Linked DNA regions of Nothobranchius furzeri. The protein of the gene in region 2 purifies or fractionates together with the protein of the main gene of each other region. This does not show direct contact. Links are inferred from orthologs where the notes say so. Each region holds a gene or a part of one and is shown on either strand. Other genes may lie near its edges.

Region 1 (3,654 bases), on a different chromosome or scaffold from region 2:
CGCACGGCGTCTGCCCGGCTCAGGCCGGCCTGGAGTCTGTTGGACGCCACCCTCGCGCTCAGGCAGTCCTCGGAGCGGTTCAGGCCATTTCGCCGCAGCTCCGATAGGCTCTTGCTGTGAGGCAGAGAGGACGTGTCCCCGCTCTGGGACTCCTCAGAGTTGGAGCTGAGAGAGTGCGTGTGAGAGATGGGGCTGTCACCATGGAAACACTGAAGCAAGTTGTCCTCGGAGCGGGATAAAGCAAAGGAGGACAGCTTCTGCAGACAGTGGAGTATTGGTTGGACAGGAGGTCGCTGGTGAGGTTTAGACAGCTGGGACCTCCGTGACTCCTGTTCCTCCTCCAGCTCTCCCACCTCCTCTGTTCCTGTCTCACTCAGCTCCACCTCCTGGAATCCCTCCTCCTCCGTCTCCTCTCCTTCACTGTGGACGGGCTGAAGCTGCAGCTCTCGCAGGAGGGACTCGGGGGAGAGGGTACCGTAGGCGCTGTCCATGGAGAGAGACCGACGCTGAGGGTCCAACACCTCCGGACCGTGCTCAGGGGGGAGCGGGTCGCCCCGGCGGGTGGACTGTTGGACCTCAGAGCTCTCAGAGTGGAGAGCGGCGGCACACTCGGTGATTTCTTCCAGGTTTGCCTTGGAGGCTGAAGGCTGCTGCTGCTCGACCGGCTCATCAACATCCATCACAGACAGGGTCTCAGTGGAGCCGTCTGATTGGCTGAAAAGAAAAGATCTGTTTGATTACCAACTGCTTTCCTTCGCTGGTGCAAATGTTATTTTTTTCCCGTGAATTGTGAAAGTTGAGAGGAGGACCTGGAGTTCTGCTCATTCTTGCGCCGTAGGACAGGAGAACTTGCGGTAGAGTTGCTGCTCTCGTCTTCCTCCTCCTCCTCCTCCTCCTCCTCCGGACATCGTTTAAGAATGTCCTGCTGTCGAAGCATCTCCTGAGTGTGAAGCTTCTGCAGCTGATTCTGATGGGGGACAGTAATCTATTACAACACAAAACCAACAAACTACAGAATTACTTAAAAGGTTGTAAATTCAAAGCGTGCCACGAACCTGGACATTGCAAACTGCATCTATCCAGCTTCTACCCTGGGTGGCGCTGTTGGCTTGAAACGTGTAGGCTGCAACTGCACTCTTGAACTCATTGAGGTAGACGAGCACAAACGAGCCTTGAGAGACACATAAACGTGCAAACCGTCATCAGCAGAAGGAGACGTCTAACGGTGCGTCATCAGCCAAACGGAGGAGTTTTCTAAGTGCTCGCGTTGCAGACGGCCGCTCTTCATAACTACAAAGATCTCCTTTGAGTCGCATTTGAAGACAAAACAGAAAATTTGAATTCCAATCACCGAGACGTCTCACCGGGATCTTTGAGCTCCTTACAGACAACGTTGTGAATGAGCAGAGGCTGGCGGACGATTTTAACCTTCTCCACCCGCTTCACTGGTTTGGTGATCAGCAGCAGGTCAGTGAACAGGAAGCAGTAGACCTCCATCTGCGGGGCAGAGTCAGAGGCCAGGTGTGCCTTCAAACAGCAGAGTGGAGTACCGTGTTTGTGAGCAGCCGTGAGGCCCCGTGCTTACCCTGCTGTCTTTGCCCTCCTTCATCCTTAGCGCTCCCTCCAGATGCAGCTGTCGGGTCTCCTCCGGAGATGTGCCTCTCATGGGAGCCATCAGATCAAAGTGGTTGTACTCTTTGAGGATCTGAATAGGGAAGGACCCCAAGAGAGACAAAAGCTTAAAAATAGCTCTCTAGAGAAATGCCGTGTTTAAAAACCCACGTCTCACCTTCTCTACCTCCTCGCTGCTGCCCTCTACAGCCTCGTAGGAGTCGATGCGAGCGGAGATGGTGGCCAGCTTCTGCCGCTCCTGACGCTGACGCATCTGAGAATCCACGCTGTTGATGAAGTCTTCCACCGTGGCCACCTTAACGCAAGGATGAATCACAAGGTCAGAGCTGATCCACGTCCACAAAGACAAGTTCTGCTGTCATGATCAAATCTAACCAGGGAACCTTTGTAGAGTGAAACCGTAGCAGATGTCGGCCATAACACACGTAAACAAGACATCAACACACGTAAACAAGAGTAAACAAGAGTGAACGGAGTGCTGCTGACAGCGGCTCATTAGGGTCCCTAAAGTTACCACACAGCTGTGGATCCTCAGACAAACAGCTGCAGTAAGTTGTGAGGTGACCAGGTGTGCCCGGTTTAAGGTTCCTCTGGGACATGTGGGTTATCTCTGGGACATGTGGGCTATCTCTGGGACATGTGGGCTATCTCTGGGACATGTGGGTTATCTCTGGGACATGTGGGCTATCTCTGGGACATGTGGGCTGTCTCTGGGACATGTGGGCTGTCTCTGGGACATGTGGGTTGTCTCTGGGACATGTGGGTTGTCTCTGGGACATGTGGGTTATCTCTGGGACATGTGGGCTATCTCTGGGACATGTGGGTTATCTCTGGGACATGTGGGCTATCTCTGGGACATGTGGGCTGTCTCTGGGACATGTGGGTTGTCTCTGGGACATGTGGGCTATCTCTGGGACATGTGGGTTATCTCTGGGACATGTGGGCTATCTCTGGGACATGTGGGCTATCTCTGGGACATGTGGGCCATCTCTGGGACATGTGGGCTATCTCTGGGACATGTGGGCTATCTCTGGGACATGTGGGCTATCTCTGGGACATGTGGGCTATCTCTGGGACATGTGGGCTATCTCTGGGACATGTGGGCTATCTCTGGGACATGTGGGTTATCTCTGGGACATGTGGGCTATCTCTGGGACATGTGGGCTATCTCTGGGACATGTGGGTTATCTCTGGGACATGTGGGCTATCTCTGGGACATGTGGGTTGTCTCTGGGACATGTGGGCTATCTCTGGGACATGTGGGTTATCTCTGGGACATGTGGGCTATCTCTGGGACATGTGGGCTATCTCTGGGACATGTGGGCCATCTCTGGGACATGTGGGCTATCTCTGGGACATGTGGGCTATCTCTGGGACATGTGGGCTATCTCTGGGACATGTGGGCTATCTCTGGGACATGTGGGCTATCTCTGGGACATGTGGGCTATCTCTGGGACATGTGGGTTATCTCTGGGACATGTGGGTTATCTCTGGGACATGTGGGCTATCTCTGGGACATGTGGGCTATCTCTGGGACATGTGGGCTATCTCTGGGACATGTGGGCTATCTCTGGGACATGTGGGCTATCTCTGGGACATGTGGGCTATCTCTGGGACATGTGGGTTATCTCTGGGACATGTGGGTTGTCTCTGGGACATGTGGGTTGTATCTGGGACATGTGGGCTGTCTCTGGGACATGTGGGCTGTCTCTGGGACATGTGGGTTATCTCTGGGACATGTGGGTTATCTCTGGGACATGTGGGTTATCTCTGGGACATGTGGGTTATCTCTGGGACATGTGGGCTATCTCTGGGACATGTGGGTTATCTCTGGGACATGTGGGTTGTCTCTGGGACATGTGGGCTATCTCTGGGACATGTGGGTTGTCTCTGGGACATGTGGGTTATCTCTGGGACATGTGGGCTGTCTCTGGGACATGTGGGTTATCTCTGGGACATGTGGGTTATCTCTGGGACATGTGGGCTGTCTCTGGGACATGTGGGCTATCTCTGGGACATGTG
Region 2 (4,238 bases):
TGTGTGCAGAGACAGTTTTAAAGACAACCATAAATTCTGCCTAATGACTGGATAGTTTCAGTGGCTTGTGGCCAGACTGAGGCCTAGTCCACACGTAGCTGGGTTTTTTAAAAAACGAATATCCGCCCCTCCAAAAACTTGCATCCACACCACCTCGTTTAAAAAAAAAACTCCGTCCACAAGTACCCGGATAAATACGTTGTTATGGACATGCCAGACCTGTAGGCGGCAGTACTTCCCCCGTTCTTAACCTCATTCTTCGTCTGTGGTCTTCCGCAAGGAGCAGTAATTCCGCTTGCAAAAACAAACAAGCAGAAAGCGCTTGGACAATTGATAAAGCGAGCGCAGCTCTGAGGGCATCCGTGCTGTCGGCTAGTGTAAACACAGGTCGCACACGTGATGTCAGCATTTTTTTTTTTGTCGCGGAAAGTGACGTTGCGGACTTTAAAACTACGGTTTTGTCTGTCCACACGCAGACACCCAAAACGGAGAAAATGCAGATCTTCACTTTGGCCGGAGTTTTTAAAAGGATCCGTTTTCGTGTGAAAAAACTCCGTTTTCGTGTGGATGACAGGCCAAAACGTAGAAAAATATCTACGTTTTGGCAGATCCCCGGCTACGTGTGGACAGGGCCTGTGTATTTACACATATAGGATGGCTCGCCAGGCTACCCTAACAGAGCTCTAGTTTATAAATCTTATCCGTGAATAAAAAGTGAATCATCAAATATCACACAACTGCACTAATTACAGATTAAAACTCAACATTAATTTTGGGTGATGGTTTGATCCTTTCAAGTGACCAGGTTGCCATTTTGTGACATTTGTAAAACTGTCAGTAATGAAGGATAATTGCAGCATTCGTACTAGTGTTCTTACTCGATTGTTCTGAGATATTTTCTTTCCTCATTCTCTCTCCTGAATTCAGAACAAGCCTCAGGCAGATGAGGTACCGGGCCTCTGGGGTCGCTCGGTTCACCAATGCTATGTTCTCATCCTGTTCAAGTCCCAAACAAACACCTTCACGGTTCATTCAGAAGGAAAAAACACAACAAAATACAAATCCTCTGCCACTGAGAGAAGCTTCAAAGGCCTCACCCTGAGACTGGAGCTCAACACAGGCTCAGACAGAGCGGGCGGGTCAAAGAGGAAGGCAGCACAACTGGCAGGCATTTACCTTAATGACCCAAATTACACCCACCACCCTCGCTTTTTTAAACACACTGAACACACACCGGGCTGCTCATTAAGCCGCTCATCAGCGCCAAACAAAGACCGCCTCCACGCCTCTGAGCGGTTCAGTGCCTGCACGGTGGTCTTTGTCCCAGAACGTGCTCGAGCCGTGCACAAAAACACCCTCCTCCATATCTCACCTCAACAGATAAGGGATCGATTGGACTAGCTGGGGGGAGCAATGGGTGTCCGTACAAAGGGACCAGCCAAGCTGAAAGCTGTATCAATCGGTCACTAGATGTCTGCGTTGGGTGGGGGTTAGGATGAAGGTGTGGGGGTAGGGAAGGGGTATCAGGCCCCATCTGAAACCTACTGATCTAATAGAAAACACACACACACACACACACACACACACACACACACACACACAACCTCCTACTTCTGGTTGGAGGCAGCCGGCCAACACGGTGCAATAAAGCAAAAGTCTGGATCTAGACCGATCCTCTCCACCCACACCACCAACCCTCCTCTACTCCTTTGTTTTTCATCACCCCTCAAGCACAAAAAAAAAAAAAGCAAAAATATTCCACTTGGAGACGCCGCTCAGGGAGAATCTGTAACTTGAGTTCTTTGGTTTCGCATTTTTTTCCTTGAGAAAAATGTTTCAAGCTGGTTTTAATGTTCGAGAAAGTTATTCAGACATCGCTTTGGAATTCCAGGCCAGGGACCCGCAACAGCTGGCTGCCGACTTGTCCCCGCCCATCACACACACACACACACACACACACACACACACACACACACACACACACACACACACACACACACACACACACACACACACACTGCTTGATGTAAAGTGAGTTTGTTTACATGTTTAAAAGGTTGCATTGACTGATTTGATCACATGATCCAACAAAACAAAATATTTCCAGGTTAAAAGAAAGACATTGCACAACTTTCCTGGAAAATTTTAAAAAGAAACAAAACTGGACAGTTCTGGGAAGTGTGTTCACCAGATGTTGGTCCATCATAAATATCACGTTTCTGCTTTATTTAGAGATAAACCTTTGACATTATTCGTTTTATGCTGTAATCTGAGGAAACAGCTGTGTGATGGGACTAACCCAGTTATAATCGACTGAAATGGGCCAAATATTTTTCAAAAATCCTCACACACTGCAGCATTTAAACCTGAATGTGTGTGTTTGTGTTTCGTAGTCAAACATTCATGGGGGGACATGTCAGGACATGTCCACAGACAGGAAACAAGGTGATCGTGGGTGTTTTATTACCTGAGGTGTCCCACAGGCTGAGCTCAATCCTCTGGGTGTCGATTTCAAAACTGGCCGTGTAGTTTTCAAACACAGTGGGGACATAGCTCTGAGGGGGTGCAGAGAAATCACAGCACTAGGTAAGAACTGATAGAACCAGCGCGTGCATGCATGGTTAAATAACACGTGGTTTAGCATGACTAAAGCAGAAGATGAAGAGGTTCTGATCCGGGATCGGTGTCTCACCTCTGGGAAACAGTCCTTTGCAAACACGTGAAGCAGCGCGGTCTTCCCGCACTGGCTGTCCCCCACCACCACGATCTTACACTTCACACTGGGACTCGGATCCATGCTGGGCTTCTGACACGACCGTCGCTCCTTCATTGAGGGGATGTGACAAATCCTGGATGTGTATTAATCGCTCGTCCCTGTCCTTTAACCGGTCCCTCCGCTGTCTCCGCCTGCTCTGTGCCGGTAAATGCCATTTGCCTGCATTTATAGCGTCACGGGAGCCAATGGCAGCAGGGCCTCCCTCCCTCCCTCCCTCCCTCCCTGCCCGCCTCCACACACCGCAGCCCGCTGGGGTTTTCCACCGACGGCGCCCCCCTTCGGATCACAACTTTCTAATAAGGAAATAAATCAAAACGTAACACAGTGCCTGATCTGTTAACTCAAATGGCTGTAAAAGAGAGAGAGAAAAAAAAACAATAACAGAAATGGCTACATGACAGGGGCAAAGGCGCCCCCAAGGAGTGGCCAGGGGTGGCCACAACCCCCCCCCCCCCCCCAGGAAATTGCTGGCCCTTCCAGGAAAAGCCAGTGTTAATAAATCATATTAATGTTCAGTCAAACCATAAATTGATCTTGTTTATTCAAGACATAATTGTAAAAATAAAATTCATACAATTAATGAGTAAAGAAATAATCTGAATAAAAAATTACATATGTTTCTGCTGTTTACCATTTTTTAAAAGTTTTTATCAGGGTATCCGCGGGTCCTTAAAAAGTCTTAAAAAGTCTTAAATTAGCTTTTCCAAATTTAAGGTCTTAAAAATCCTTAAAAATGACTATTGATCCTTAAATACAGCCTTCAAAGCCCTTAAATTACCAAAGACCCAATAAACAAGATTCTTTTATTTCTATAAAAAATTTTCTGAATTTCTAGTAAGTGTTCAGCATTTTTTTGTGTATGATATTGGCATAAGCAGAGCCATACACATTCCATTGGTTGTGAAAGGGGGCTATTTTTAGATTAGCACATTAGCTGGTTAAGCTAGTGGGAATTTAATGGTAACTGGATGGCTAATGGCTAATCTTACGTTCGCGACGTGGTTAGCACCAGTTCCAGGCAATAGCTGGAAATTATAGCTTAAATTTAATTTAAAAAAAATTGCTTAAATTTGGTCTAAGTGGCCTTAAAAAGGTCTTAAAAAGCCTTACATTTTGCTCCCTTAAACCTGCAGATACCCTGTTTATCTCCATAGTTTTTTTGTGGACAGCAACAGGTGAATTAAACAAAAAAACATTTTAAAATAAAACTCTAAATAACATTTCAAGTAACTATGTATTTTTCTGAAATGTTTGTGTTTGTAAAATTTAAGTTAAATGTTTTGGATACATGCAGTTTTTTTTTTTCATAAAAATGAATAAAAAAGCAATGCAATACAATGCCACAAGCTAAACTCTCCCAGAGTTACCACAAGGACCAATTTGGTGTGCCACCCCAAAAATTAATTTGGCCCCATCTGGCCACCTCTATCAAAATTTTCTGGTGGAGGAAACAAGCATAGTA

The links. The genes of interacting proteins can lie anywhere in the genome.
Region 1: the proteins of rnd3a (region 2) and plekhg5b purify together in Homo sapiens (affinity purification with western blotting; 3 studies listed by BioGRID and IntAct, with this or other methods). This does not show direct contact. The link is inferred for Nothobranchius furzeri from reciprocal best matches to the Homo sapiens genes RND3 and PLEKHG5.

The regions. Positions count from the first base shown.
Region 1 is NC_091755.1:39,711,220-39,714,873, reverse strand, and holds part of plekhg5b (pleckstrin homology domain-containing family G member 5), read right to left. Parts: intron 1,928-3,654; coding exon 1,790-1,927; intron 1,706-1,789; coding exon 1,586-1,705; intron 1,498-1,585; coding exon 1,365-1,497; intron 1,172-1,364; coding exon 1,056-1,171; intron 968-1,055; coding exon 810-967; intron 715-809; coding exon 1-714. UniProt on the Homo sapiens protein: Functions as a guanine exchange factor (GEF) for RAB26 and thus regulates autophagy of synaptic vesicles in axon terminal of motoneurons. Involved in the control of neuronal cell differentiation.
Region 2 is NC_091754.1:56,844,582-56,848,819, forward strand, and holds the start of rnd3a (rho family GTPase 3a), read right to left. Parts: upstream 2,943-4,238; 5' UTR 2,831-2,942; coding exon 2,693-2,830; intron 2,556-2,692; coding exon 2,468-2,555; intron 1-2,467. UniProt on the Homo sapiens protein: Binds GTP but lacks intrinsic GTPase activity and is resistant to Rho-specific GTPase-activating proteins.